Arabidopsis thaliana: one gene and its partners. The protein of the gene in region 4 interacts with the protein of the main gene of each other region in a pairwise test. Each region holds a gene or a part of one and is shown on either strand. Other genes may lie near its edges. The genes, in order: AT1G27290, MAPR3, UBC34 and AT5G61570.

Region 1 (6,979 bases), on a different chromosome or scaffold from region 4:
TTCTCCAGTTACATCTGTCGACAACTTTAAATATTATTTAATCCTTGTTGATCATTATACCCGATATACATGGCTGTACCCATTGAAACAAAAATCACAAGTACGGGAGACTTTTGTGGCGTTCAAAGCTCTAGTGGAGAATCGTTTTCAAACCAAAATCCGAACATTATATTCTGACAACGGTGGAGAATTCATTGCGCTACGACAATTCCTGCTAACACACGGCATTTCACACTTGACCTCTCTTCCTCACACGCCGGAACACAATGGAATTGCAGAACGAAAACATCGTCACATCCTCGAAACCGGGTTAACTCTTCTCACTCAAGCCTCTATTCCAACTTCATATTGGACATATGCGTTTGGAACTGCGGTTTACCTCATAAATCGCTTGCCCAGTTCTGTGCTCAATAATGAATCGCCGTATTCGAAGCTCTTCAAGACTTCACCAAATTACCTCAAATTAAGAGTTTTTGGATGTTCGTGCTTCCCATGGCTCCGCCCATATACCAATCACAAATTGGAAAGAAGGTCACAGCCGTGTGTATTTCTCGGGTATTCCTTAACCCAAAGTGCATATTTATGCCTTGATAGAAGCTCTGGTCGTGTCTACACTTCAAGACATGTCCAGTTTGTTGAGGATCAATTTCCTTTTTCCATCTCCGATACCCATTCAGTTTCTAATTCAAGCCCAGAAGAAGCTTCCCCTTCATGTCACCAACCCCCATCTCGCATTCCGATTCAGTCATCATCTCCGCCACTCGTACAAGCTCCGTCGTCGCTGCCGCCCCTAAGCTCAGATTCTCACCGCCGGCCAAATGCTGAAACTTCATCGTCTTCGTCCTCGACGAATAATGATGTTGTGGTATCGAAAGATAACACACAAGTGGATAACAGGAATAATTTCATAGGCCCAACAAGCAGTTCTTCAGCCCAAAGCCAAAATAATTCTAATCCAAGCTCATCCATCCAAACCCAAAATGAGCCCAATCCGAGCCCGTCACCAACACCTCAAAATTCTAGCCCAGAATCTTCACCATCGTCTTCTACCTCCGCCACGTCCACAGTCCCAAATCCACCACCACCACCTCCGACAAACAACCACCCAATGCGAACCCGAGCTAAAAATCATATAACCAAGCCCAAAACGAAACTCTCCCTCCTAGCAAAAACAGTTCAAACCCGACCTCAAATACCAAACACGGTGAACCAGGCTTTACGAGATGAAAAATGGAGGAACGCTATGGGAGAAGAAATCAATGCCCAAATACGGAATAATACATTTGAATTGGTTCCACCAAAACCAAATCAAAATGTTATTTCCACAAAGTGGATTTTTACACTAAAATATCTTCCTAATGGTACTCTTGACAGGTATAAAGCAAGATTGGTGGCTCGAGGTTTTCGGCAGCAATATGGACTCCATTACTCTGAAACTTTCAGTCCTGTGGTTAAATCTCTCACAATTCGCCTAGTTCTACAATTGGCAGTGTCTCGCTCATGGACAATTAAACAACTAGACGTAAACAACGCTTTTCTTCAAGGTACATTGACGGATGAGGTGTACGTCACACAACCACCTGGTTTTATCGACCCCGATCGACCACACCACGTTTGTCGCCTTAAGAAGGCGCTTTATGGCCTGAAACAGGCTCCACGCGCTTGGTACCAAGAGTTGAGAAATTTTGTTTGCTCGTTGGGATTCACCAATTCTCTCGCTGATACATCAGTGTTTGTTTACATCAACGACATCCAAATCGTCTACTGCTTGGTCTATGTTGATGACATTATTGTCACGGGAAGTAGTGATGCGTTGGTAATGGCTTTCATCACCGCTCTTTCTCGGCGATTCTCGTTGAAGGACCCGACGGATTTGGTATATTTTCTTGGTATAGAGGCAACAAGAACCTCACAAGGTCTTCATTTGATGCAGCATAAATATGTTTATGACTTGTTGTCTAGGATGAAGATGTTAGATGCCAAACCGGTGTCCACACCAATGGCGACACATCCTAAACTTTCACTCTACTCTGGCATTGCTCTAGACGAACCCGGAGAATACAGGACAGTGATCGGCAGCTTGCAATACTTGGCGTTTACACGACCGGATATTGCGTATGCTGTGAATCGATTATCACAATTTATGCATCGTCCCACAGACATTCATTGGCAGGCTGCAAAACGCGTCCTTCGATATCTTGCGGGAACTGCTACTCATGGTATATTACTTCGCTCAAACTCTCCTCTCTCGCTTCATGCATTCTCCGATGCTGATTGGGCTGGGGACAATGACGATTTTGTTTCCACCAATGCATATATTGTGTATCTTGGCTCTACACCCATAGCTTGGAGCTCGAAGAAACAAAAGGGAGTCGCACGTTCTTCCACCGAGGCCGAGTACAGGGCTGTTGCAAACACAACTTCAGAAATTAGATGGGTATGCTCTCTTCTTACTGAGTTAGGCATCACATTACCAAAGATGCCTGTGATATATTGTGACAATGTTGGTGCCACATATCTCTCTGCAAATCCGGTTTTCCATTCAAGAATGAAGCATCTAGCATTGGACTATCATTTTATTCGCGACAATGTGAGTGCCGGTGCACTACGAGTCTCTCACATATCAACACATGACCAACTTGCCGATGCTCTAACCAAGCCATTGCCTCGTCAACACTTTCTTCAGTTTTCAAGCAAGATTGGAGTGAGCAAACTCCCTCCATCTTGAGGGGGCATGTAGAGTATATAAGTAAAGGATAGTTTAGTAAATCATTAATCCCTAATTCATTCTAATGTAGTCCCTATATATATTGTAATTATATCATCTAATGAATTATTCAGCCTTCAATACTATAGTTTGATCATGTGCTTACTTTCCCTTCATTTGCGATACTTCAAGGTTCTTGCTGCCACTGTTTCTTTGAATGCGTCACATGTTTGAACATGTGTGTTCTTTTTGGATCGAAGCTTAGCTCTTTAGATGGAACTGAATAAGTAAAAGAGGTCACTGGATAAGCTCTGTTACTAGAATAATAGGAGGGCTTCTGCTTCACATTTGTAATCCTCTCTCTTTCTCTGAATTGATGTTGCAATTGCTTGTCATCAGTATCTGTATTTCCATAGATAACTGAACTCATTAAAGGGCAACCGAAGCTGCTTCGTGGTTTATGTTTCTTCTTTGTGGGCTATTTTGCTTTGCACTTTCACTTGTTTCTTAGTTTTGGTTTGATTTTTCATACTGGGCCCTGAGCAAAACAATTTTAGTTATATGACTTGTGAAACTTAAATGGGTTTTAATCGAATGGTAACTTCATCTAATTTGTTTGAATAATTCATCATGGACCTTAATGATAATATCTTGAGTCTACTAATCATTTCACAAATCCTTTCATTTTCCAACAGCAAGTAGCCTGATTTTTGAACCTCAGCGATAGACAGCTTAAAGTGCGGTCATTCTCGCAAAAAGCTATCAGTCTTTATTTGATTCACGAACATTATACACGAAAGTCAAAATTAAATAACCAAAAAAATTAAACAAAAAGCAAACAAGAAAACGACTTCTCTGGTATGATTGGAACAAATTTAATAGAGAGAGAGGTTAGATAAGAATGTGGTAGAAGATAAGACCCAACTACGCGTCATAACTGGGTCCCATCTTTGTCTCTTTCCCTTCTTCACTCGCCAACCCCATCGCGTGTCCCCACGCTCCTTCCCTTTACTTTTTCTCGTTATCCAAAACACGACGATTCTTCATTTTAGATTTTTTTCATTAATAAAAAAAAAAAAGTCTTTTATTGCAGAAATTTCGATCGTTTTTGTTGTGTGTACAGAGAGATTATCGTGTTTTGTTGGCAATCGCCATTAAACCTTCTTCCCTCTAACCCAATCAAATTTGCGGCTCTTTCTTTTATCTTCTCGCCTCGGTTTTAGCAAACCCTTTAGTTATCTTCTTCCTCAAGCAATTTTTCTTTTGGATTAGATTGGTGTTTTCTTTTGGTTTGTGTGGTGATGATGAGAAGGCAACGAGATGAACAACAATCTAGGGTTTTCTACGATCTATCATCTCTTGTTTTGAATCTTCTCCGTTCTCCTCCTATGCCGATTTCTTTACCTGATCATTTCCCCGATCCGCCCGCTAGAATTCGTCCTCCCTTTTCTTCGCATCGTTTTTCGTCTTCTTCGCCTTCTTTGGCTCATATTTCTCCGTCTGGATTCGCGTCGTTGCTGCTTGGTATATCTGTGGCTCTTATGCTATGTGGATCTGTGACTTTCTTCATCGGGTTTCTCTTGATGCCTTGGGTTCTTGCTCTGATTTTGGTTTTCTATGTCGCTGGCATCGTTTCTGCCATTTCTATGGTCGGGAGGTCGATTCTCTGTTACGTCTTGACGCCACCTTCTCCTTCCGGAAAGGAGATTTCTGGTAATTTTGTTGAATTTTAGGGTTAAGTTTGTCAAATTGGTTTCAATGATTCAAGCTTTCTACTTTCGTCTCGGATCTGTTTAGATTTTAACCAAAGTTTCCTTATTGATCATCTAGAAATGATTCCACTGGGTTTTGGTTCTGTCCTTATTTTGATAGAAATGGAGGTTCGAATTAGGGTTTTATTGAAAAGCACACCGATGTTTGTTCTGTCTTTGACTGAAACGATATTGTTCTTTTGTTTCCTCGTGGATCATATTATTCATGTTCACATTACTTTTGTTGTCTGAAATTAAACCTATGTTTGTATTAGTTTCATGTTCTTGCAATAATGTTTGTGTTTGACATGTCTATTCGCAGAATGGAAGCTTCTGTGAAATGATTAAACAACAGAGGTGAAGAATCTATACATCATCCGGAAGCAGAGCAGAGCGAAGCAGAACAAAAAAAAGAAGAAGAAGGATTGATTATATAAACACATATATCCGATAGAGTTTTTCTATGTTCTTTATCTGTATTTTGTTGGGGGGGTTTGGGAAAATCATGTGGATATCAGGGAGTTTTATATTTCTTTACATTTCGAAAAAAGAATTTTTCTATTTAACTACTGTTAGAAATAGAGAAGCCTTGTTATTTGTGCTTTCATGTATGTCGTTTTTATGTAACATGATCATTTCTTAAAGCATACAAAAAGATTTTAGGATTTCTGTTGCACTTCTTTCGATTTCCTTGCATTTTCGAAACACTCTGTGTTGATATCTCTTCCTTTAAATCTTCTTACAATATTTGCTCATTCTTGATCTCTTTTATGGTTTTAAATAATTGTCTCTTCAAGTTCACACGGAATCTAGTGTGAATCGAGGTTTAGTCGTGCAGAGTTGTGTGTGTTATTACATGTTTTATTATTGTTTAAGTATATTTATTTAGTGGAGGACTATACGCTATTTGCACATCTCAATGTCAAATTGCTCAAAAATGGTAGAGGTGCCGTGCCGTCAATAGATGTCACGTGTCCTGACTTGCCTTCTCAATACAAACAAAAATACTCTCTACCTAAAAAAACACAATAAACAACAAACGCATCTTTGGAGCGGCGGTGAGATTAGAGAAGAAGGGTTTGTGAAATGGAGTCCAGTGAGGATGTGGAGAATCTGAGTAGAGCTATTGAGAAGCTTCTTCATGAGAAGAGGAAGAGAGAAGCTTCTGGTGACGCCTTCATTGAAGACGCTGATGATCAGCTTTTCCTCTCTAGCCTTATCTCTCAGGTACTTTACCATCGCTCTGTTTTCTCCTTTGTTGATTTATCTGATGTTGCAGCCAATCAACTTTCTGGGTATATGATTGAATCATGAGTATTTGAGTGAGTCTGTGTAATTGTTTCGCTGTGATGTGTCTGCTTCGATTTTGATGAGATCCAACAAATACAAGCTTATCTTCATGATTGTGTTTAGTTGCTGTTTCATGTCCACAACATTATTTGTATTGGGATGTGTCCATTTCAGGCTTGTGCTAATTTTTTTGCCAATAACTTAGTTGGAATCACCAAACCCCAAGGGGAAAGAAGATGTCATAACCGGAGAAGAAGAAGAAAAAGAAGAAGAATCTGCAGATTCTTCACCATCCAAAGGAAAAAGCGAGGGCCAGAGACAATTGGAAGAAAGTATAGAAGAAATAGCTAAAGACATCAAGAAGGTGAAGAAGCAGAACAAAATAACCCATGTACTTCTCTCGGCTACGATCATCCTGACATTGGTTTGGCAGCTCTCTGAGTACTCCATGATTTTCATGTTGAAAGATAGAATAAGCCACCCAGTCAGATCCATCGGAGGTATGCTTAATGGAATGTTCAAAGGTAAGTTACGTCCAATCAAGAACCAACTTGCGGGGACTTCCAACTCCAATGACCAAAACAACCATGGGAATGGATCACACACTGGACCTCAACTTCAAGTGCCCGAGCTGTTGCGAGAATTCGGTTTCGACGATGAAGAATGATAGCTTCCCTTTGTGACTCAATAATACCAGTTGTTATTTAGGAACAGGGGTCACCCTCATTGTTTCTTTGCTTTTAGTATAAGTAGTTTACTTTTATATGATCAAAATGCGAAAGAATAGTTGCTTTCTCAAACTTTTCCACATGAAAAAGGGTTCCAAAAGAGAACCGTATTTCAAAAAATCTTTTGTTTTACCCTTACTGAATCATGGTTCAGTGCCCGAAAACAAAAGGAGTCATCTCAAACAAAGTAACAAATAGCTCCATTGATTAAAATAAAAACAGACAGCAAACCACCTGAAACAAAGCTTAATGTTCCAAATCTAAAACCAACTCAAACAGTTTTTGAATAGTCCCAAACTTTCCACCACTCTCTTTTCAGCTTCCAATAATGGTTCCATGTACCTCTGGCATCAAATTCCTCAGGCATAGTTCAACCTGAATATGTCATTGAACACGTAGTAGTTTCCCTGATTCGATATCAAATGGAACATCTGGACACAAAACACAAGTATGTCAGGAATCAGGCAAAATCCAAACAACAAGCAGTCATCAGATTTATGTTA
Region 2 (7,843 bases), on a different chromosome or scaffold from region 4:
ACCCCGATAGATGGAGGTTTAAAAGCTTGAGTTATCTACACACCTGTCGAAGACCACGAACTCCCTGAGAGTAGTCACTGCCAAGCAAAAGCGCTAGAGCTATCTGTAACATCACCCAAGAAAACATTGTATACATGACCTTACCATTTGATGAAACATAGCTAAGATTTTAAAGTTCTTTGACGCATGGAATAATAGTCAACACTCAACAATGTGTAGCTGGTTTTCTTGTCTACTGATGCTAACAAAGGAATTGAGCCCTTAAAGCTACAACGTTGCAGTAGAACCATTCATACACATAGTATCTATCTCACCTGAGTTTATAAAATATCAAAGGCCACCTTTTGCAAGCATTGCATTCATGCTTCTACCAATCTAATCATTTTATAATAACGTGGTGCAGCTTTATAGAAACGAAAGATCAGGGTTAAGTATATAAAGCTAATCACTTAAAGAGGTTTGTTAATTTACCAATGAGTTCCGTCCAAGCCCAAGCTTTTTCTTGATGTCATCCATCTCGTAGCAAACAACATAACCTCCTTCACCTAGTTCATTGGCAAATTTATTAGGACTTATAATACTATTAACCATATCAGACGGTAAAAGAAACCAACACACTAAAGAGTCTCTTTCCACTGACCAAGGCATATTTCTCTGTATACAGTCTTTGCACCAAAAAGGAAGATATCCGAATCAAAGCTAAAACAGGCGTCCTATGGATGATCATTGAATATTGGGTTAACAGCATGACGAACAAGAAACTGATTAAAGCTGAAAAATGCGTCTTACACATAAGGATTCCGAGTTTAGCAGAGCGCATTGCGCCTCAGCCTCCTCAATCCTGCATTTGATGGAAAATACAGAACAGAATCAGTTTCTCATAAGCAAAGTTAAACATTCAAACCAAAGTCTCATAAGCAAAGTTAAACACTCAAACCAAAGTCTCATTGTCAATCTAAGCTAACTGTCTTGAAGCCCTACCCGTCTAAACAAAGTATCCCTAGTGTTGATGCAATAACTTTCGCCTCTTTTATGATGCACGAGAACTCAGACCCCATATTTCTTTTGAGTGAAGTCTCTTTGCTAGGCTCAACACCATCGTCAGCGATCTGGCTGAACCAATATAGCACGAAATCGAAAAAAACAATCCAAAAACTAGCCATCATATGCAAGGATGAAACCACAAGTGCCACATTTGACATCATTGTACCTCGAATCTTGCTTTTAACCGACGCTTGTAAGTTGGTACTTTGATTCCAGGAATTGCACCATCTACAATTACATGCCACATTCCAACAAGTCAAGTATGCTCAATAGCATTGAAAAAACTAAACTTTAGAGCAAAGCATCAATAAATAAGAACTGATTTGACCACTCATGCTTCTATTACTCAAATCAATTCACAATGACAACAATACAACACTACATAAACCCTAATTGGCTCTTCTGATGGCAATTTTCAACAGTAGGGTAGAATTAAATTACCTGAGACTAAAATGATGGAGCAGTTTAGGGCAATTAGGGCTCGGAGACGATGAAAAAATCCTCGAAGATAAACTTTTTCTTTAGTGGCGCAATAAGATTTGTTCACTTTATGCAATTCCACCATCCAACACGAAAGATCCACGCATACCCTTTTGTTTCTACAGCGATTACGAAGATCTCGTAAAGACTTGGTCTTTTTAAACACCCAGAAAAATTAAAGAGAAATTGAGACGAAGAAACAACTCACTGAAGATGATCGAGTGGGAAAGTCTTCTTACAAGGCTCCAAGACATCCCAAAGATACTTCACTCCCATAGCTTCACCTTCGAGATCGAGCGAGAGAGAGAGACAGAGACAGAAAGAGGGAAGAAAATGATTTGACAAGATATTTGAATTTTGAAAATTTGGTTCAATAATAATTCGAAACCGGTCGGTTTGAAGGTTCCAAACCGAAACCAAAATTATTGCAAATTCTTCACTTCGGTTCGGCAACAGACCTACCATCAAATGTAAGTTGGTGCTTCGATTTTAGGAATTGAACCATCTTCAATTACCAGGCACATAGCAGGATGTCAAATATGAACTAAGCATAAACAACAAGTGAACAAACCCTGAATTATAGAACTGTTTATCGATTAATACTGTAGAAATAATGTATTTTGAAGCTTCCATAACCAGAATTAGATGTCATTATACAAGATCCAAAAAGTACACACAAGGTCACCATTTTTATTGAGCTATATACGACTCATACTTAAACCCTGAAAAATCTCACTAATTTCTCAAGAGAAACTGTGCCTCTCATTACATTGACTTTACTCCTTTGCAGCATCATCATCATCAGTTGCAACATCTTTCTTCTCCGTGGTTTCCGCGATTTTCTCGCCTGTGCTTCTAGAAGTTTCATCATGGGTAATTGCTGAAGCTTCTTCTCCAGTGTTTGTAGAAAGACCTTCCGCAGAGGCAGTCTTTGCTTCGGAAGGTTCTGAACTTTCTTTGCCTTCTCCATCCTTCTTTTGAATGGTTCCGACTTTGACATACTTGCTCATGAACTTGTACTCCCAGTCTTGTAACGCCTCTAGCTCAAATGCACCGAGACCTGAGATGTCTCCAGTCAAGTCTTGGTCCTCAAATGACATCTTTGCCAGAGCTCGGCTTGCATCTTTCCCTGCAAACAGAGCATATGGCCCACCTGGTCCATAAAACATCCTGCATAAAAAGAACAGATGGTCATGCAAATTAGCGACCAGTAAGAGTTAAGTAGAGTTTGAAGAATGAAAAACTACAGCTTGGCACATATGAATATGATTCATCTAGATATGTAGTACAGCTGATGAACTATGTACAAGAAAAAAACTAAAAGTTATGCATACATATACATCGACATGTATATGCGTTGATGAGTGTGTCTGTGTCTGTCGCCACTATGAACAAGCAAAACGGTATGATCACTGAAGTGATTATTTCATCTAGCACAAAACCTAATTACCACAACGAAGTTTTCGGTAACTGGAATGTAAAAGAACTGTCTAGTTGACAAGTCAGGGATCTAGACAACTGCAGCATGGTTACATACCAACAATGTTCGCCAAAACTTAATTTACAAACGTCATGGAACACAAATAGCAAGCAAATGTGGATAATTAATCAGTGAACGATCTCTTTCGCCACAATAGCAATATTAGAAGCCAAACCTTTGACGAGTTTGTACGTTATCAATCTCTACTAATCCAAGATGTAATCTAAATACAGGTTTTTCTAGTATAAGAAAAAGTAGAGATCTTTCCGATAACTTGAATACAATACAATTGTATCAGTGCTTCTAATGGTATTGTTCCAAGAAAAGAAGTGAAAAAACAAACACTAAGATGCAAAAAGCAATAAAAAGAGCATCATAAGATTATGAACAAAAAGGAGAGAATATTCATCAAAAAGATTTACTAAAAGTGTTCAGTTTTACAATAAAGAATCACTTAAACTAGAGTTCGAGCATCAGTAGATATACTAGAATCATAAGATAGATAGTAATTGGAAACTTCGGATTATAAATCAAACAGTCAACCATGATTAACTAACCTAAACCCCAAATCTCGAAACTATTGGGTTGAATCGTTTATTACTGGTAATTTAACTAGTGATCATTTGGATTCAATCATAATTTAATGAACAAGTAAAGATTTCACAAGAAATACCTGCTCTGAGAAACATCATAGATCTGGCCCTTGATCGCCATAAGAAGGGGCTTTTTAGAATCGGAGCCATCATAAAGCTTAAGCTCCTCCTCAGTGATTTCTCCGAGCTGAACCGGCGGTGGAAGAGGCTCCGATTGAGGCTGAACCTCCAAAGAACGAGGTCGGTGAACTTCAGGAGAAACGAAGAAACCGGAGACGACTTGGTAAACGGCGAAAGCGAGAGCAAGTACGGTGAAAAACGCAGCTGGAGAAAGTCCAGTGTAAGCTGTGATTGTTTCCTTCAACGTCTCCCATATTTGCTGAACCATGATTTGAGAAGCTATCGAGAAGCGAAAGAGAATGAGAGAGAAGAGTAACGTTTTGTGTTTTAATTTTCAGATTTATTTGCGATCGAATTAAAACATATATATAATATCTTCAATTTTTGGTATAAAATAAAATAAAATGGTCAAATTACGCAACAAGAATTTTAAACGATTTTGTTTAACAGTCGTCGTCCATAATGACCGTTGATGTCTGAAAAATATTTTCTTTTTGTTCGTGTGAAACATACATAGAAATTTTCTAAACGTTTTTAAGAATATATATCGTTACCTAACTAGTGGTGGCTGAGCTCGATAAAACGGTGTCGTTAATGCCGCCGGAGAAGACTGGTAGGTAAGAACTAAGAAGAATAAGATATAGACCAAAAAAAAAAGGTAGATGATTTGCAAAACAAATGTGACTAATAATGCTAATATCAAGACAAATAATTGTAACAATATTGTTTTATTTTCCTATTTGGTGTGCAAGGTTGGTGGTGATCAAAAGTTGATCACTACAGACATTCATTGGCATAGCCTACAGATATATACACATAATACGATTCAAATCAAAACAAACAACACAAAGAAATAAACAATTCAACAGTCAAAGATGAGAACAATAACAAGTTAAGTCCTTCACAGAGAATGATCACAGCAGAAACATCAAAGATGAAGAGAACTCACTTCATCAACCTTCCAGTCTCCTTCCTCATACTTGTACCATCTCACAATCCCTTCATCGTTTTCAGTCCTCTGACACATCACACACGTCTTGTGATCCATGCAAGTCAAGAATTTCTTTAGCCTTGCTGTTTTCTCCATTATCGTCTTATCGAGCTCTCTAACAATCACCTTCTGCTGAGGCTGCCAACCGCTGTACTCCACTAGGTGAGAGTGTGATATGTTGAGCACTTCAAGGCTTGGTAATCCGTCAAGGATTTTCATCAGTGCTTCCCGCTTTATCGCCGAGCATCTGATGCTGAGTGTTTTGATGTTTGGGAGGCAAGTGATGAGCGTGTTTGCAAAGAAGACCTCGAATGGACCCATGATCTTCAGCTCTTTAAAATTCTTGCAGTTCTTGGCAATTTCTGTTAAGAGATAAGGCGGGTTTGCGATGCTTGGCATTGTTAGTGACTCTAGATCTTTCCAGATTCTTATCGCTTTGCATATACCAGTCTTCTTTATTCTGTTCCAAGCCGGTAGGACGACCCGTCTCAACCCTGGACACCTGCAAAATATTCAGTACAACAAATTTTTCAACTTTTAGCATTTGCGAGATTCAGCTTAATTGTAATTCAGCAATTTTGACTGAAAGTGGGTACATGAACTTAACCAAACCAAAAACTGAACCAACTTTTGACTAAAAAACCATAGTTTACGGCCATGATGAAACAATTTGGAAGACAAATAAGTGGAAGAACGAAAAGGACATACCTTTCTGCGGTGTAAGTAAGCTGATCATCACTCAAGAACAAGTTGAAATGAAAAATCAAGGTCCTCGTGCTTCCTCCGCTAAGGTTCATGGAGAGTTTCAGGATGCGGGTTAGGGCCTCATCAGATCGGCGTTCCACATAGACATAAGGCTCTAATGGGATCTTGATGAAACTAGATCTCATGTTTGACAAATCCACCGTCTTCCAAAGAATCGGATCGCAACAAGCAGCTCTCCATCCTCTACAAACATGAGCTAATCCCGAAGTCAACTCAAAGACGCTAAACTTCTGGAAAATTCTTACTAAGATGTCAGTGTCCAACTCTTCCCATCTCCTCAATCGACGACTCTCATACTCTTCTTCCATTCTTGTTGTACCCTAAACAAGCATAAGAACGTTAATCAACTGTTGTTATCCACAAGAGCTTATAGAAATAGGAAAGAGCACAACTTTAAGAAGTAGGAAAAGAAACACACATCAGTTCTCTTATTCTCTCATAAATATGAAATTCTAATCAATCAATCCTCCCTGAATCCCTCAATTTCCATGATTCCATTTCCATCACAGGATTGATTGATTGCATCAATCAATGAGTTATTACTGCTATAAGTGAAATGAACTACAGAACCCAACTATGATAATGTTGGAGTTAAGTAATCAAAGTTTAAAGTCCCAAAGAGAAAGACTTTTCTTCCCTCAGGTAAACCAATACAAACACCAAAGCTAGATTATATTCTTACATGATCATCATAATCGATCTTCATCACTATTTATCAGAAAAAGGAAACACCAAACCTTAGAAAGGAAAACTTCCGTATCAGAATAGTTCAACAAGGAATTGAAACCAAACATAAAACCAATCTACAGAGGAATATATGCAAGACAAGTCAAGAGTCTCAAACTCTAGAGATTGTGGCCAAGTAATTGAAGATCAACCATTAAAACTCAGAAGAACATGAAAAGACATAGAATTTGACAAACCAGAAGACTAAAGATCGTAAAACTCACTAGGACAGAGAATTAAGCGAAATCTGATGTAAAGGAATCGAATTTCGAAAATCTAGAGGAATAAGATTGAAAACCCCCAAGACTCTGTCAACAAATCAATCTGATCTCTTCACATTCCCAAATCAGTCGAACTAAAAAACCGAAGAGACAGATCTCGAATCGCCATTTTCTCAATTCAGAATTGAACAAAGAATCAAACGAAACATAGACATGAATTAGATCATAAAGAAGAAGCTGAAACACGCAAAGGGGCACTGAGAGAAATGAAGAACCTACCTTTAGGAAGAGGCAAATCGTTTGGCGACGACGACACCGTTACAATCTGTCTCTAGCCAATGGAAGTAGATGATATGAATTTTTTTATGATAAATCGGTTTGGTTTTGGTTTGACGGAGTTTTCAGATTAAACCGGTCTTAAACTCAACACAAACCCTTATCTTTGGGAACAAGATTCTTATTGAGGTTGACTCTTTAAAAAGTAGTTAAATCCGACGGTGGAATACACTTATGAGTAATCTAACGGCTGGTATGCAACTTTGGTAGGTGAGTGTGTTTAATCTATGAAGGGCGGCGATGCGAGAGAAGATAAAGAGAGAGAGAATAGAGAAATCTCTTGTCTCTTGGGTATCTTCTTCTTCACTTTCCTATCTCTTTCCCAATAAAAGGAGTCTCTCGCTTTCTCCAACTTCGCTATCCAAAGGCGTCGACGGTATAAAACCCTTTTCTTTGCTACACATAAAACCCTTTTCTTTGCTACACTCACTCTCTTTCTCAGTCTGTTTTTATTTTTCATTTGTTGTTGTTGTGTTTCATTGAAGAAGCTTTTAGGTTTCTGCTTCTCTGTTGTGTGAGCTGTTTTAAAGGTTGAGTTTTTCTTTTCTTCTATTTCTCATGGCGTTTGGTTTCGTTTCTTTTGGTGGTTTCATTTTGAGTTTTCTGAATCTGGGTACTCTTTATTTGGTTTTATTGATATGCAAAAATGCTTACTTTGAGATTAGGGTTGTGTATTCGCGTTTCGATTTGTTCAAAGATGATTGCTTGTTTTGCTTTGGAGAGTTTGGAGATAAGAAACATAGCTCAAGCTTTTGTGACATTGTTCTGCTCTTAGTTGGTGAATTGAAATTGTGTATTTTTGTGCCTGAGCTCTTTCTGTATACGTGTTTAAGAGAATTAGCAATACTGATGTTCTACCATTACCCAATGCAGCCTCCAACATTGCATCATGGCTTGGTCGATAGCTCTTCTTACACCTCCTTTTTTTGGTCCCGGAAGGCATGTGCAGGCCAAAGAATACAGGGAACCAAGAGGGTGTGTGATGAAGATGAGCAGTTTAAAAGCACCTGTTCTGAGAATTCAGGCCACAGAATACAGAGAACCAAGAGGGCGTGTGAAGATGATGTCCAGTTTACAAGCACCTCTT
Region 3 (9,294 bases), on a different chromosome or scaffold from region 4:
TTACATAGTCTAGAGCATTCTTTAGAACCGGTACATGTTGCAACGACAATCTCAACAATCTGAGTGAGTCATTCAATAGAACCATTAGACAAGCTAGGCGGAAACCACTGTTAGATCTTCTAGAGGATATTAGGAGGCAATGCATGGTTAGGACAGCCAAAAGGTTTATCATTGCTGACAGGTGCAAAACAAAGTACACACCAAGAGCTCATGCTGAGATTGAGAAAATGATTGCTGGGTTCCAGAATACACAGAGATACATGTCCAGGGATAATTTGCATGAAATCTATGTCAATGGAGTTGGCTACTTTGTTGATATGGACTTAAAGACATGCGGCTGCAGGAAATGGCAAATGGTTGGGATCCCATGTGTTCATGCAACATGTGTGATAATAGGGAAAAAAGAGAAGGTTGAGAGCTATGTGAACGACTACTACACAAGAAATAGGTGGCGAGAAACATATTTCCGTGGTATTAGGCCAGTCCAAGGGATGCCTTTGTGGGGTCGATTGAATAGGCTGCCTGTCTTGCCACCACCATGGAGAAGAGGCAATGCCGGAAGGCCAAGCAATTATGCAAGAAGGAAAGGAAGAAATGAAGTTGCCTCTTCCTCAAATCCGAACAAAATGTCAAGGGAAAAGAGGATCATGACATGCTCTAACTGCTTGCAAGAAGGGCACAACAAGAAATCATGCAAAAATGCTACTGTTTTAAGTCCACCAAAGAGACCAAGAGGTCGACCAAGGATAAATGAGGTTTGTATATCTTTCATTTCTATTTTCAAAAATTCTGTTTCAAAAACTGATTGTAATGTTTGTATTAGGAACCACAAGGGTATGTAGAAGGATCACATGGACATGATAATGGCTCACAAGGGCAGGGTAATGTGTTACAAGGGCAGGAAAATGTGTCACAAGGGCAGAACAATGGCTCACTAGGGCAGAACAATGGGTCACAAACACAAAGCCAAAGAGGAAGAGGTCGTGGAACACAAAGACAAAGGGGAACAACTCGTGGAGCACAAAGACAGAGGGGAAGAGGTCGTGGAACATCACAAGTGTCTGAACAACCACAAGGAGAAGCACAATCGCAAGGACTTGCTGGACTTGCACCATGGTTTGAATGTTCTCGTGGAACATGATAAGCTAGTCTCATGTTTGTTTTTGTTGTTTGAACTTGTCTTTATGACATATGTTTAGTCTCGGTTTGTTTTTGTTGTTTGAACTTGTCTTTATGACATAATCTAAGTCTTTTTACTTATTGTTGTTTGCACTTGTCTCTCTATATGATTAGCTTAGTCTCAGTTTTAAGAAGTTGACCTTTTCTTTCAAATGAAATTCATTACCATTACCAAAGCTACATGTCATTACATAGTAAAAGCATAACCAAACACAAACTAAACAACAAAGACCAACAACAAGAGAAACAACAAAGACATCACATTCAAACTAAGCTCCCATTCGATTACACACTAATAACCAAGAACAAATTTCTGGGTTTTTTTCTTATAGAACATTGATATTACAATTGCAATCACACTAAAACAAAGGCACACCAAGCACACTTTCGTCATCTTTTTCCATCTCTGAATTTCTCTTTTGCTCCACATTCCATCTTCTTTCAACTCTATCATTAGCTCCTTTAAGTTTGCAATTTCAACAGCAACCTCAGCTTTTGCATTGATTATCTCGTTATCAATGCTGGAGATTTTGGGTAGAGCATCTATAACCTCTTCATACATACAATCCTCCACCCATTTGAACAAATGATCCTGCAATTCCATCTCAAGCTTTTATCGACCAAACACAAAAAACATCACATTCTCATATCAAATCTACTTACATCTTCACAGCTTTTGCACCGAAAGAAAGGCCTTCCAGGGTTCTTAGCCGTGCTCGATGTAAACATGACGACGTCGAGCCCACATTTACACTTAACAGGAAACCCACGGCTCTTGAAACCTCCAGCTTCAGCATTCGAAATCATTCCTGAATTGCAGCCTCCACTTTCACCACTCGAATTCCTTGAGTTGCAGCTCATAATGCAGATTTGATCGAAAAATTTGAGAGAAAATGATTTTTAGGGTTTGGGTTTTGATTTGGGGATTTTTCAGAGGTTTCGTCGACTTTGAAGTCTGTTGATAGCACAAAACGTCGTCGTATCACCTTAACGGATGTTCTGTAACGTCTGTCAATTACGCTGTTAGAAGGAATTTTAACGGTGGTTAATTAGGCCGAGTCAACGCAAACTTGAATGTTAAAACAGAAGTCAACTTTTTGTTGAAAGTTAAAACGGCCATTTCACGAGTTCACGGTTAATTTGACCATTTTTTGTAAGTTGAGGTATTAAATAACATTTTTCCCACTAAATTATAGAGTTAACATTATTAACCATAAACATAATCACTTTCACTGGACTGGACTCGAGCAGAAGAAGAAGATTGGTAACAAGTCAACGTCGGTGGTTGAAGACAGATTGAACCGGTACAGCCATACCGGTTTTAATTTATCATTAAGTATGGTTTTTTCCTTTTCTTACCAATGGGCCTAAAGGGACAATTGCTTAATTGGCCCAATATACCTAACAATTCTATTCACTATTGTCTGTGTATTCTCTCTGTCACTTCTGTTTTCATCAAGTTACTACACCAGAGTATTTACATAAATTGACAAATTAACCTGTGAGCTCTAGGAGAAGTACAATTTGAAAACCATACGGTTCTATTTTTCAAATCCAAACCATTATCCTCAATTCATATATACTATACAAAGTAGTTCCAACGAAGCTACAATATGTATGTAATTGTGAAACCAAACTTATGTTATCTGCTTTTACAAGCACAAACCATGAGGTGCTAAATGAGTAAATTCAGACGAAGAGCACTAGACAAAAGGAGACTACTCTTGATGCTGAAGAGAGAGAGACACAAGGAGAGATTATACGAAAACCAGGTCGAGGTTTGTTGCATAGAAATCACAGTTGAAGCAGAGGCAACGCCATTACCACACCGAAAACCGACACTAGCAACAGTATTATCCACGCTGGCAATCCCTGTTTATTGTTCTTTTTCCTCTCCTTCAAGCCACCTTCTGAATCTCCCTTTGTTGGATCGATGGTTTTCTCTGACTCGACTTTGGTATCGCTCTTTTGAGGAGACTCTGGTGTTGTCAGTTGTGTGGTAGCTTGCTCAGCTAGTTGCTGCTGGTTGTACTTCTCTACATACTCTGGAAATAGCTTTCGAAATGCTGGGCTGTCACAAGTAAGAACATTGGATTCAGGTGAAATACCGAAAACATGTAATCTCAGGACTGCATTCATTCCTATATTCGTTATCTAACCAGCTTTTATGACTATCCTAACCACAGATAACTAAACTTAGCTTCTATATGAATCCAGAATTTGAAATTTTTTGATGATGGGAAAATCTTACGTTTTACAATTGAAAGCGAGAGATGACTTAGCCAACCGTTGTTTCTCAATTACAGTAGTGTTAACACTTCCAGTTGTCGGACTGGTATCCATCTGCGCCGCAAGGAAAACGTTTAGAGAAAGCTTGAGAACAGAAAAGAAAAAATAGACTTCCTTTTTGAATATTCATATCTAAGCTAATAAACCATTACAATATAAGAATATGAGAATTTTCAAACAAGATGTCCATAAATATGTAGAACCTACAGTGAGCTTACCATAAATGAGAGAAGTCCTGTAAGTATGCTGCATTCATGAAAAAAAGTTGGTTATCAACGGGTATATCGATTGTCATCTTCCAAAAGTAAAGAAAGAATCTATACCTTGATACAGACCACATCGGATTCCAGCTTTCTGGATGAACTGTAAATGCCATGTCAACTTATTTCGATATTAGACAAGTTAATTGATACGAAATAATGAACAGAAAGTGCAGATTGTCCTTACAATCACTCATAGATAAACAAATTTTCTTCTGTGTCATGAATCGACCATTTGGTGTAGTCATTCTGAGGCAAACAGAAAAAGATTTGGTTCATTAAAAAACTGGACAAAAAATGAGGTAAGAGTAATGTTGAGACTGAATTTGGAGGAACCATTGGAACATACGTAATCCCTGGTGGCTTGTAAGGATACTCGGGAGGAAACTTGATCTTTCCATAGTAAAATCCACCTGGTAAAGAGAATTTTAGTATCAAAAATAAGATACTGCGTAAGACAACACTAACAAGAAACTTTCAAAAGAAGATTTTCACCTGCAAAAGGTGTTCCCTCACTGCCTTCCAGCACATAATCTGTAAGATTAATCCAATAGTTTAACTCTATTTTAGTAAGAGATCAAGCTACCCTTTTTAACATACTAAATGCAGTAATAATAGAAAGACTGAAACTCCCTAACCGCTATCAGGCTAACAGTAACACTGACAGCCTTTCACAATTGAGAAGAAAACTATCAAATCTATGCATTGTAAGTACATATAAACCTTTGATAAATAAGTCTTCACTATTCCATCAAAGTAATGTGAGACCTCTTCTGTCTACTTAGATCGTAGTATCCCATTTTTTCTTAGTTTAACGTATACTCACAAGTGTAGCAAATATGTCCATCATATATACTTATCATAACATCTTTATAGAAACGCTTGCAACAGGATTACAGGAAGCCAGCAGGAATAAAGATTAAGAAAAAAAGATAGGGAAGGCTTACGCCACTCGAGAATGTCATTTGGGGAAGGACGAGCAACAACATGGGAGACTGGTTCCTAAAGGCCAAAAACAGAACATATTAAATAACCCCCAAAGAAACAAAAGAAAATATGAAACTTACTCTAAACCAAAACCAAGAAAACATTCACATATAGATACAGCATCATTTGAAAGTACAGAGAAAACTGGTTGAGCAATAAAAATATGGAATCCTGGTTCCAGCTCGAGAGAGGTAGAAAAACAAGTAAAGAGAGTGTACCTTGCAAAGTGCTCTATATTCCTTTTGAAGACGTTTTATACAGGCCTTTTCTGCCATCTACGTGCTATGGACGAAGTGAATAGCTGCAGCAGCTGTTACACCCATTTAACATTATCAACAAAACGAAATACAAATATGAGTGAAAGTCCACCTACTGATGAGATGGACTACATAAAACCCTTATGTCTGAATTACATATATGAACTACATAAAAACATATATCGAAACGAGTAAATTGCAGTTGATTTTCGTGCCATTGATATGGAAACTTTACCAATTGTACTATCTCACAACACATATACAGAGATAACAATACTTCTAGCTATTATGCAATACTTTCATGACCTGATTGAAAAGAAAAACCAACCAAATACACACAAGATCAAATGAAACTTGAGTCAAACAACTCTATGATCACCAGAAACACCCTTTGAATAAAAATCCCCAATTTCCATGAGCTTGGAAAAATCTTTTCACCCAAATCACTGCAAACCAATTGAAAGCAACGAAAATTCAATCGAATTCCAACCAAATTAAAGGAAATTATCTGGAAATCCCTGGAATTATATATCAACCTAGAAAATCCTTTGATTGAACCGAGAAAATTGCAACAATGATAGGCAAACCAAACTCGAATCAGCTGCAATATCTTCCATAAATATATAAGAAAATCACAGATACTTCCACATAAACCGTATCAAAGCAAAGTCTTAAACTTGTTAGAGATTCCAATTGCAATTTCAAGCTTCGCTCTTACCCAGAAACGCAAAGGAACAAGAACAACAAATCAAAAGATAATGCAGCGAAGAAATTCCAAAGTAGATAACATCAGATCCAAGAAATAATTGCGAAAATATGAAAGAAATTGATCACCTGAATCGAATTTTGTCGATGAAGATTTTCTCTCTTGGGGTTTCTCGTTAATCTCACTTTCTCCTTCTCCGCGGGTAGAGAGAGAAAGAATTAGCCTAACTCGCGCTTGGTTTATCTAAACCGAACAAAATTCAACACAAGTTAGACCGGTATTGTATAATCCATTCCGGTTCGTTATTAGAGGATCAATGATTTAATAATTATTTTGCGTAATGCACTTTTCCCTATTTCTTTATTCTCCACCACTCATCAAAGAATCTGTGCCGGTTCTTGGAATCAATTTTTCCTTCTCTTCATGAAATATAAAAAAAATAGCTGCAGAAGAAGAAAAAAAACTAGTGATTAGTAGTGAGACAAAACAGCTGTTACCTGCAATTTTTTCTTTTCTGAAATTGGACTTACACTAATACCTCCAAATTCCAAAGTTATGCTTAAAAAATAATTTCAATAAAGTTAAGTTTCAGCCTCTTTTGAGTTCCCCGATAACAGTAGGCAGAAATCACGTGCTCTAATCACATGACCACCATCTCTTAGTTTCAAAGCAGTTACATGAGTTAGGTAATGTGAATATGTGGATCTTTGTCTCTACATATGATATTGTATCATTGTTTCAATGTAGATGCTTGAGGAATATCATCATCATCGTAAGTAAATGATTAAGAATAAGATAAGTATCTCACCATCTGATTAAATAGCATTAGTCAAAGTAAGATCACGTGATCAGATCCCAATAACTATGTGTTCAAACACACATAAATCTTATTCTATAAAACCAACAAGCTTTAGAAGTCTCTCGTCTCTCTTTTCTCTAACACACATCTCCATCCAAGATTTTCTCAGTTCACAGAAAAACAGAACAAGAAAAAGTCAAGAGGTTTCAAGAGTCCTAAAGGAAATTTCAAGAAGAGAACTCAGAATGAAGAGATGCTGTTCAGTGGCTCTGGTTCTGTTACTTGTAGCTTTCTTTAGCAGCAAGTATAGTGTAGAAGGACGTTCTCTGTTAACGATGACACATTCGAGTCAAGCTGTGAGAGATTTGCCTGTAAGCAAGGAGATGAAGAAAGAGCCACTTAAGGGAGAAAATGATAGCTTCAGAAGAATCCCAAGGAGTGGCTCAAACCCTATACAGAACAAGTAAAGAAGATACGAGACACAATCTAGTTTTTCTTTTTTTTTATGTATCCCCAAAGATGAGTTTTAGGTGTAATTGACATCAAAAAGTGTTTCTTTTTGTATCAGGTGTAATCCACCGGTAGATGTTAAAGCAAGTAGGAAACAACAGCAGATCACAACATCAAGAAAACCTTAAAATTCCAGTTCTTTTTTTGTCCTTATTTAGATCCTCTACTTTCGTTTTTTTTGTAGAATAGGTACCTAGACATGTGTGCTTTTAATGCTGTAATCTACTTGAAATATATGAACTCATCTTTTAATCTTATTGATCGATCAAGATAGGATGAAAATTTAAAACGCCTCCTAGCTCGAGTAGTCTAACTTTCCAAAACTATTCTCAACCTCTTTAATCTTTTGAGTTCTTCTTCTTTTCTCTGCTTTGTGGTTTCTTTTATTTGACTTCAGCAGACTTATCCTCAGCCATAGCATGTTGTTCTCAGTGGTGCTTAAAACCTTAAATATAAAATGATCAACCTCTTTATCTATGTTCTCGGTTCTATATGCTTCAAAAATGCATCCTCAGATCCGTAAAAAATTGAAAGTTGTTCTGCAGGAAACCTCACAATATCCTGACTATTTAGCTGCCTATCTCGATATCCAGTGATTACTCCTCACTGCAAAACAGCAACAATGAAAGAAGTAATCACAGCTGTGAGCACTAGATTCCTTTTGACATGTAAGTTTGTACTTCTCTAAAACACCGATACAGATTGTTGAGATTGTTTACAAACTTTTGGACCAAGAAGAAACAAAGTGGCATCCAACACATTACTCAAAAATGACGTCGTTTTGCTGATCCCATGTATAATAATATTACTGTTATTAGGAAACGCTGAGAAAACCGCCGCCAAAATGACGTCGTTTTGCTGATCCCATGTATAATATGATGAATTTTTCCCACGAACCGGTTGGGCCGGAAGAGAGTCTCTAAACCGTAACTCGGCCCATAATGGCCAAATTTTGTCCAATTTCTAACAGCGTTTTACGCGCCGACTCCGACCAATAAAACACATGGTTTTGTCTGAATAATCCACGATCCAGAAGTTCTTTATCTCCAATTAATTGTTCATTATTATTATTAGTACCAAACTAAATTAAAAAGAAGAAGAAAAAACCACCTTCATTTATTACGACCTCTCTTTAGACAAATTTTTTGACTAAGAAAATATCATAAACGGCTAAAAGACTCGAGATTACGGATTATGGATTGAAAACACACAAAACAAAACAAAACAATAATAATAATCTCATTCCTTTGTTTGAAATTAAAAAAAAATCTCATTTACGTTTATTACATTCTTTTTTTAGATTGATTTTTCGTTGAAAAGATAAATATATAGATGGCTTTTGACAGAGTATTTGGTAAGAAAGAAAAAAAGAAAGACATTCAATATTCGTTGAAAAGGGTTTAAAGAAATCCGTTGAAAATAAAGGAAAACAAGATAAATTCTAAATCCGTGGACGGACAAAAAAATGTCAAAATCAGTGTGAATTGGAGAGAGAGAGAAGACAGGAATTGGGAAGTTTCGTCTTTCGAGCAAAACTATCGAAATCTAAATTTAGATTGAGAAACAAGCCAACAAGCTTTTTAGTATAAATCCCATACCACACAATCACAAATGCGGAGATTCGTGATTGGCCAAGCTAAAAATCTCATAGATCAGAGTCGTCGTCGTCAACTTCATCATCACAAAAATCTCAGCTTTGTCTCTCTTATTCCTCCTTTTTCTGCTCCTTCCGATTCTTCATCGCGCCACTTGTCTTCTTCTTCTTCTTCCGATATGTCTGCTTCTGATTCCTCTTCCTCTCTTCCCGTTACTCTTGACACCATCAACCCCAAGGTCCGTTTTTTTCTTAATTTTTCCTTTATTCTCGCCTTTTTGGGTTGCTGTTTGTTAGTGATTTGTGTTCTGTGTTTTGGATTATGTTTCCTCGATTGATCTGTGTCTTTTTGCAAGCTTTGATTTTGTTTTATACTCCGATGAAATTTTGTGATTTATGATTTGGTAAAGTGAAGAGCTTCGTTTAATTTCTTCGAGATTGCTCTGTACTTGATTTAGGGTTTATTGATCACCTGCTTGTGTTCTTTTTGGGCATCATGTTTCGAGTTTATGCATATTATGATTCGTATCCTCGTCTCCGCATCTTGATCATTGACCCTTGATGGATTTATTTCTTTTACGTATTATATTACTAGGTGATCCTTTGTTTATAGGACTATTTAGAATCCATTTTGTTCTTCAGCTTTTTGCGTATATTAAAAAAGTCTGTTGCTTTCTGAATTCTTCATTTTTGTTCTTCCTTGTGATTAGCTC
Region 4 (8,016 bases):
AAACGAAGCTGAGCTCGTGAGAGAATGCATTGAGAGAGAAACCGAAGAGAGACTTGAGGCGGAAGCAAGAGCGGAAGAGGTTAGAAAAGAGAAGCAGAGGTTAGAGGATGCACTTGAAGGTGGACCGCTTCAACGCCAACAATACATGAAATTTGAGTGGGAAGAGATCGTCGAGGCGACGTCATCTTTCTCGGATGAACTTAAGATCGGAGTCGGTGGTTACGGAAGCGTATATAGGTGTAACTTGCATCACACGACAGTAGCTGTCAAGGTTCTTCATTCAGACAAAAGTAGTTTAACCAAACAGTTTCACCAAGAGGTAAATAAACATTCTTCACTTCTTAAACCTCCAAGCAAAATTACTGTTCTCCTAAAACGATGGCGTTCTCTTTGATACTTGTTCAGCTTGAGATTCTTAGCAAGATTCGTCATCCACACTTGCTTCTCCTCCTAGGCGCGTGTCCTGAACGCGGAAGCTTAGTTTACGAGTATATGCACAACGGAAGCCTTGAGGAAAGACTCATGAAACGCCGACCAAACGTTGACACACCGCAACCGCCGCCATTACGGTGGTTCGAGCGGTTCCGAATCGCTTGGGAGATCGCTTCAGCACTCTACTTTCTCCACACAAACGAACCAAGACCAATCGTTCACCGCGATCTTAAACCAGCCAATATCCTCCTAGACCGGAACAATGTGAGCAAAATCGGAGACGTAGGCCTTTCCAAAATGGTTAATCTTGATCCTTCTCATGCCTCAACGGTTTTCAACGAAACCGGTCCAGTTGGAACATTCTTCTACATAGATCCTGAATACCAAAGAACCGGAGTGGTAACTCCCGAATCTGATATCTACGCGTTTGGAATCATACTTCTTCAGCTAGTCACAGCTAGATCCGCGATGGGTTTGGCTCATTCGATAGAGAAAGCGTTGAGAGATCAAACCGGGAAATTTACAGAGATCTTGGATAAAACTGCTGGAGATTGGCCGGTTAAGGAAGCTAAAGAGATGGTTATGATAGGGCTTAGATGTGCAGAGATGAGAAAGCGTGATCGTCCTGATTTAGGGAAAGAGATTTTGCCGGTTCTTGAACGGTTAAAGGAAGTTGCGTCTATCGCAAGGAACATGTTTGCTGATAACCTAATTGATCATCACCATAACGCTCCGACCCATTTCTACTGTCCAATAACAAAGGTAATGAATGATACGAAAATCTTACATTTTATGTCAGATTTTTGATACGTTATGTGTTTTGATTTGGTTTATGGGGTCATTGATGAAATTAGGATGTGATGGAGAATCCATGTGTTGCTTCGGATGGATATACGTATGAGAAGAGAGCGATTAAGGAATGGCTTCAGAAGAATCATAAATCTCCAATGACGGATTTGCCCTTTCCTAGTGATTCTCTTCTTCCTAATCATTCTCTTCTTTCTGCAATCAAGGAGTGGAGATCACAACTAATTAAATAAATTAATTAAAGGTTCTTAAATTTATACGGCTAAATTCGTCAATTAACATGAATCGTTGTGGTTTTTGTTTTGTCATACCATTCTTGCGCACAAACGTTGATGAAATATTCGAGCTTTTGTGTGTAAATTTTTTTTACCTTATTTGTTTGATTGTATTATAGGTTTTGACTGCATATTTGCAAGAAGAATATAATAGTGTTGATTTTTGTTGTGTCGTATTTTCTTATAAAAGTATACATATCAATACTAACGAAAAACATATATGAATCCAATCCAATATGAATATGAAAACTCTTCGTTTTTTAAAAATCTTTTAGTTGTGTATGATTTTATTATCAAACATGAGATAGTATCGTAAAAGTTGGCCTATCGTTTATACTACGAAGATACCCATATCATTTACTATTTTGTATTTTTGTTTGTTTCTCTAACATCTATCGGTTTCTTAGTGAAAAAAGTCTAAAATATTAAAATGGTATGTTTTGTCATGTTGGATTTTGTTGAATATATGCAATTGTTAACTAGGTTAGTAACTTAGTATACATGAGATGAGATCTGACACCTAGGCCATTAAATTGTGTGGGTTCTATATGATATAGCTATGAAAGACATAAATATGGTTATAGAATAATAAATGGGCTAGCCAAACGAATACTGAATTTACAAAAATAACATTTGAGCATTGTTCACACATTCTATCATGCACTTATCTACCTGGAATGATAGAGTTTTCTTTTTCCTTTATCCTTTTTTCATATAGTATTAGTTACAAACGAAGAAACTTTAACAAAGGTAAACAAATATACGTTAATAAGTTCGAACTATACGTCAATTATGAATTATGTCTAAACCAAACGATGTTCAAAACATAGAAGTAATAAGAATTACATTATAACAACAAACAGTATATGTAACTATGTAAGAGAATCATTGCAATAATTTATATTCTATATGTCGTTTAGTTTGCACACATGCACACATAGGGAAAAAGAACTTTATCCTAATATGAAGTGATTAAATATCAGAATGGAAATTATGCAATACAAATAGAAAAATAAAACAACAAAGTAAAAAATCTCTAAAAAAATTTAGTAAACAAAAGTTGCAATTGAGTTGTGGTTGTTGAAAGGGGAGTGACATGAAGGTCCCCCCACCACCTTATTTGATACGTATGGTGATTGGTGGGGCTATCAAAGGACCATTCGACGTCGGAGTATAATTTTGTCATTATAATCAAGATTTTCTCTAATTGAAACTCTACACTAACCTTTCTTTTGTTGTGGCTAATTTTTGTATACTTTGGACGTAATAGTTCTGTTATTGGCTCTTAAATGATGTGGAAACTATTAAGAAGGTTCCATTAAGTCTAAGTGTTAATTTCTCATTTCCTTAAACTAGAAAGAAGGTTCCATAAAAAGTTAAAAGGCAATGTCTAGTAAAGAGTAGTTAGGTAGTTTTCACAAGAAAAATACATCCTTTATAAGATTGATTAGCATTCCTAACATTTTTTTTTGGGAGGTGATTTCGTACCAAAAACAGAAACAAAATTTTAATACGTTTTCACAGTACAATGCCAAAATCTAATTCTAATATGACAAAGTTAAAATAGTCGTTCCAATAAATTGACCTATACAATTTGGTTTATACCAGTAGGTCATAAACTTATACAATTGGTTGAGAACTTGGCAGGGGAATAAAAACACACAAGTTTTCAATAATAGCGAACAAAAACAACTCATAAGTCCACATTGATACAACTAATTAAAACATGTTTCAGATCTCTCTATATCATTTACTTCATCTCCATCACATACCATCTACACATCTCTCTGTATCTCTACTGTAAACAAATAAAGTTTCAATTATTCATACACTTTTTCTTATTCCATTTTGTATTCTCACACCTAAAGATTCCAACTTTAAATCTCTTGCTTAATACTCAAAATCCAATTTCCTTGTCTACAAAAGAAAAACCAAAAAATCCAACACTATTCCATGAGATGAGAAAATCCCATTTGGTAAAACTGATACTTGCAGTATCTCTACCAACAACATTCTTGATCATGATCGCCATCATCATAATCTTCATCTTCTGTAGAAGAACAACAACAGAGACCAATGAAGTTCAATACGACGTCGAATCTCCTTACGAGAAACAAGAATTTTCCGATAACGGATCCGAAACAGAGGAGGAGCTTATCATCTTCAACGGTGGAGAAGATCTAACGATCTGCGATATACTCGATGCTCCAGGAGAAGTCATCGGAAAATCAAGCTACGGTACATTATACAAAGCGACGTTACAAAGAAGTGGGAAAGTTAGAGTTCTTAGGTTCCTTCGACCTTTATGTGCTGTGAATTCAGATTCTAAGGAGTTTAATGGCGTCATTGAGTCACTTGGGTTTGTTCGACATGATAATCTCGTTCCTCTGTTAGGGTTTTACGTTGGCAACAGAGGAGAGAAGCTTATGATTCATCCCTTCTTCGGTAGTTCCGGGAATCTTTCTGCGTTCATCAAATGTAAGTCTCTGTTTTCTACTCTGTTTTTTTTCTCTCGAGAAAATGCGAGGAAGCTGAAAAAGATTAAAAGGAACAAACTTTTTTAATTTTCGGACCAAAAGAGATGTCTTGAGTTCTCTTTTTAGCTGTCTTGATTCGTGGAATCTCCTAGATTCTTGTTTTCTGGGAAACAAACAGAGTCTTGAGTTCTCGTTTTCCCGGGTAAATGGTAAAAAGTTTTTAACGCACTTATCGTTACCTATATAAGATGTCTCTGTTTTTGAAATATCTATATCGAAGATTTCTTCGTCAGATGGAATCATATTGGTAACTGTAGTCGATCCATAAGAAATCGTCTTATCTTTTACATTTTCATAAATCGTAACATGGAATTGTTTTTTTTTATCTCTGACAAACAAAAAAGTAAGTTTGTTTATTTTGTTCTAGGATCACCATTATTGATCTAACTTTTGTCGGTAACTACTTTTTTTTGTCACTTCCCACTTAGTTTGCTCATTATATAAGACAAAATCTTTATAGATCTCGTTCCTTTAAAATCTGTAGAGCATCAACATCAGCATTAATTTTTCTAATCAATATTCAATAGGTTGTCTTAAAAACAGAGCATAGTTTTGGCAGGTGGAGATGTTGACGCACACAAATGGAGCAACATTTTGAGTATCACCATTGGAATAGCAAAAGCTCTTGATCATCTCCATACAGGAATGCAGAAACCGATTGTTCACGGAAATCTGAAGTCGAAAAATGTTCTACTAGACAAGAGTTTTAGGCCTAGAGTCTCTGATTTCGGCTTGCATTTGCTTTTGAACCTTGCAGCTGGGCAAGAGGTTCTAGAAGCTTCAGCTGCAGAGGGTTACAAAGCGCCTGAGTTGATCAAGATGAAGGAAGTAAGCAAGGAGAGTGATGTATATAGTTTCGGTGTGATCATGCTTGAGTTAGTCTCTGGTAAAGAGCCGACAAACAAGAATCCAACGGGATCTGTACTTGATCGTAATAGGTTGTCGGATTTGTACCGTCCTGAGATTATTAGGAGATGTCTGAAGGATGGAAATGGTGTGACCGAAGAGTGTGTCCTCGAGTACTTTCAGCTTGCAATGTCTTGTTGCTCTCCATCGCCTACTCTTAGGCCGAGCTTCAAGCAAGTATTGAGGAAGCTTGAAGAGATCAGGAAATGATGCATTAGCAAACTTGACTAATTTGTGGAAGAGACATAGGAAGAGAAAGATTCAAACAATCAGAAACCTTTTTGCAAGATTGATTCAATGCGTAGGGCGGATAAGAGAGTCTTCATAGGATGATACAATACATATAACAAGTTCTAGCTTGTGGAAGTTCACAGAGAAGTAGTTAGTCTGATTATCTACAGAAGTAACTGAAGATGGATCAAGGTTTTGCTTAGGAAGGACTTTTAGAACAGAGTTATTGGAGAATAACTGAGAAAAGAGCCAACAAGAGACTCGAAGAACTTTGTAAGGCCTCTAGTAATCATAGAACATCATCTTTTTGAATGTAAATTGTCTTTGCAGTTGTATCTTTATAGCCTTGCTCGGTCTGTGCAGATATGATTCTTGAGTTGTATACCTGAAATCTCCAAGAGGCTCTCTCTCTCTTTCTTTCTCTATATATATATGGTTCTTGTTCTTGAAGGAGAACTTTGCAGTTTTAAGCAAAGTATCATGAACTAATCTTGTGGTGTTTGTTATAACCACAGATTCTACACTTTTTACGCTGCACTTTTCTCCATCAATACATTCAGTGTTTTGTATATATTATCCTTCTGGGGATGGTATTGATCCCCAGAGCAAAACTTGTGGATTTTCCCGGGAAAATATTCAACAACAACTACCGAACTAAAACACACTGAAAAAAGTACCAGATTTAAACGGCACGGAGTGTTATAATTCTTATTACGAACGTCATGGTGTTATACTCCTTCTTTTTCAAATCGGTTTATTCTTTTTTCCGTTAAGTTTGATTTGAACCGGAATTGATCGGTTTAATCCGGATTGAACAAGCCTAGTCTTCTTCGTTTTGGTGATCTCTCTCTCTCCTATGAATTGAATTCCACAGAGAGATTCTAAAAATCTTTCAATCCCACAGATTCGGATTTGTACTCCATACTCATGGAAGCTTCGATTTCGTTTCTGGGGTCAACAAAACCCAATATTTCCTTGTTTAACCCTTCTTCAAACGTCCTTCCTCGTAGAGATTTCCCTCTTCCTGCTTTGAAATTGAAGAAAGTTTCAGTGCTGCCTCGAATCTTGCACCAGAAACGACTCATCAGAGCTCAGTGCTCTGATGGATTCAAACCAGAGGAAGACGATGGGTTTGTCCTAGAAGACGTTCCTCACTTGACCAAATTTCTCCCTGATTTACCGGTATTCGATTCTTCGCTGTTTCTGTCATGTGTTAATATCTTTGTCAAGTTATGAGTTTTTCCATCTAAAAGTATTAACTTTTCTGTTGGGTTGATGTTACTTCCCTAATTGATGATTTTGTTTCTGACATCACAGTCATATCCAAATCCATTGAAAGAAAGCCAAGCATATGCCATTGTTAAGTAAGTTCAAATTTCTACATGGCAAAGTCACTAAACTCATAAATACCTTTGAGGGTTGTAATGTATTGTTCATATGGTTTCTGTAGGCGAACTTTTGTCAGTTCCGAAGATGTGGTTGCGCAAAATGTAAGCTTGATGTGTTTTTTTCTAAGCTTTTTTTTTTCGATTTGCGGGTGTTTACTTGCTCTCAAAGCTCCCTCATTTTTAGATTGTAGTCCAGAAGGGAAGTAAGCGAGGAGTACACTTTAGGCGAGCAGGGCCTCGAGAAAGAGTATGATTTCTTCTTTAAAGTGTTAAACTTTTGTGAGATTTTTCGCAACTGAAACCTGTTAAGTTTTTGGTTATACAGGTGTACTTCAGATCAGATGAAGTAAAAGCTTGCATAGTGACTTGTGGGGGCTTGTGCCCTGGAATCAATACTGTTATACGGGAAATTGTATGTGGATTGAACAATATGTATGGTGTTAATAACATTCTCGGCATTCAGGGAGGATATAGAGGCTTTTACTCCAAAAACACTATGAACCTGACACCTAAAGTAGTTAACGATATTCATAAACGCGGTGGCACTTTTCTTCAAACCTCAAGAGGAGGACATGATACAGCGAAGATTGTTGATAATATTCAAGATAGAGGAATAAATCAGGTAGCTAACATAACTGATTTCCATTTTGTCCATAATTTTTATGTAGTTTAGTTTGTATTGAAGCTGAGCCATCCTAATATTTTGTCAATGTGTATGTCAGGTATATATTATTGGAGGTGGTGGGACGCAAAAGGGTGCAGAGAAGATATACGAGGTTATTTCATATCACATATTACTGAATGCTGAATGTAGCATTAGTAATTCTACTGATACTTGCTTCATATTTTGTGAAGGAAGTTGAGAGGCGTGGTCTTCAAGTGGCGGTTTCTGGCATTCCTAAGACAATTGATAATGATATTGCTGTAAATACCCATTGATAATTTTCAACTTAAGGTCTACTTTTCTCTCATGTGGAGTTTCTTATACATCTTCTTCATCCATTGTTCTAGGTGATTGACAAATCATTTGGCTTTGATACGGCGGTTGAGGAAGCACAACGAGCTATTAATGCTGCACATGTAGAGGTCGAGAGCGTGGAAAATGGAGTTGGTATCGTTAAACTCATGGGCAGATACAGTGGTAAATATTCTGTGACATATGTTGATTACTTTCTTTTGTGAATACGAAGTTAACTTGTGGTACAAATTCTGCAGGTTTTATTGCCATGATTGCAACTTTAGCGAATCGTGATGTGGTAATAGATTAGTTTGATTGTTAAATTGTCACTATAAACTTTCTTTATTTGTGGTGTATAACAATGGGAGCTTTGAAATGTGACAGGATTGTTGCTTGATTCCAGAGTCTCCATTTTTTCTTGAAGGAAAGGGTGGGCTCTTTGAGTTTATTGAAGAACGACTCAAAGAGAATAGGCACATGGT

Evidence for each region.
Region 1: the proteins of AT5G61570 (region 4) and AT1G27290 interact in a protein complementation assay, tested with the Arabidopsis thaliana proteins (one large-scale study listed by BioGRID).
Region 2: the proteins of AT5G61570 (region 4) and MAPR3 interact in a protein complementation assay, tested with the Arabidopsis thaliana proteins (one large-scale study listed by BioGRID).
Region 3: the proteins of AT5G61570 (region 4) and UBC34 interact in a protein complementation assay, tested with the Arabidopsis thaliana proteins (one large-scale study listed by BioGRID).

Annotation. Positions count from the first base shown.
Region 1 is NC_003070.9:9,477,780-9,484,758, forward strand, and holds AT1G27290 (uncharacterized protein), read left to right. Parts: upstream 1-3,625; 5' UTR 3,626-4,008; coding exon 4,009-4,420; intron 4,421-4,780; coding exon 4,781-4,797; 3' UTR 4,798-5,213; downstream 5,214-6,979. Other genes in the region: AT1G27300 (uncharacterized protein), read left to right, coding at 5,545-5,685, 5,954-6,415; NTF2A (nuclear transport factor 2A), read right to left, coding at 6,836-6,907.
Region 2 is NC_003074.8:18,125,811-18,133,653, reverse strand, and holds MAPR3 (membrane-associated progesterone binding protein 3), read right to left. Parts: upstream 4,203-7,843; 5' UTR 3,986-4,202; coding exon 3,678-3,985; intron 2,695-3,677; coding exon 2,301-2,694; 3' UTR 2,062-2,300; downstream 1-2,061. Other genes in the region: AT3G48900 (single-stranded DNA endonuclease family protein), read right to left, coding at 44-103, 472-545, 641-713, 790-841, 982-1,109, 1,211-1,272, 1,486-1,643, 1,733-1,800; AT3G48880 (RNI-like superfamily protein), read right to left, coding at 4,646-5,210, 5,417-5,781; HSP93-III (Clp ATPase), read left to right, coding at 7,646-7,843.
Region 3 is NC_003070.9:5,914,173-5,923,466, forward strand, and holds UBC34 (ubiquitin-conjugating enzyme 34), read right to left. Parts: upstream 6,171-9,294; 5' UTR 5,807-6,170; intron 5,805-5,806; exon of another isoform or gene 5,026-5,804; 5' UTR 4,991-5,025; coding exon 4,934-4,990; intron 4,731-4,933; coding exon 4,676-4,730; intron 4,263-4,675; coding exon 4,224-4,262; intron 4,142-4,223; coding exon 4,078-4,141; intron 3,978-4,077; coding exon 3,916-3,977; intron 3,850-3,915; coding exon 3,792-3,849; intron 3,715-3,791; coding exon 3,687-3,714; intron 3,523-3,686; coding exon 3,431-3,522; intron 3,251-3,430; coding exon 2,974-3,250; 3' UTR 2,660-2,973; downstream 1-2,659. Other genes in the region: AT1G17285 (uncharacterized protein), read left to right, coding at 6,543-6,940, 7,046-7,115; AlaAT1 (alanine aminotransferas), read left to right, coding at 8,599-8,820. UniProt on the Arabidopsis thaliana protein: Accepts the ubiquitin from the E1 complex and catalyzes its covalent attachment to other proteins.
Region 4 is NC_003076.8:24,755,035-24,763,050, forward strand, and holds AT5G61570 (Protein kinase superfamily protein), read left to right. Parts: upstream 1-3,154; 5' UTR 3,155-3,472; coding exon 3,473-3,992; intron 3,993-4,601; coding exon 4,602-5,167; 3' UTR 5,168-5,755; downstream 5,756-8,016. Other genes in the region: AT5G61560 (U-box domain-containing protein kinase family protein), read left to right, coding at 1-319, 406-1,194, 1,287-1,472; PFK4 (phosphofructokinase 4), read left to right, coding at 6,116-6,370, 6,506-6,552, 6,639-6,678, 6,761-6,823, 6,902-7,198, 7,299-7,352, 7,432-7,500, 7,588-7,717 and 2 more.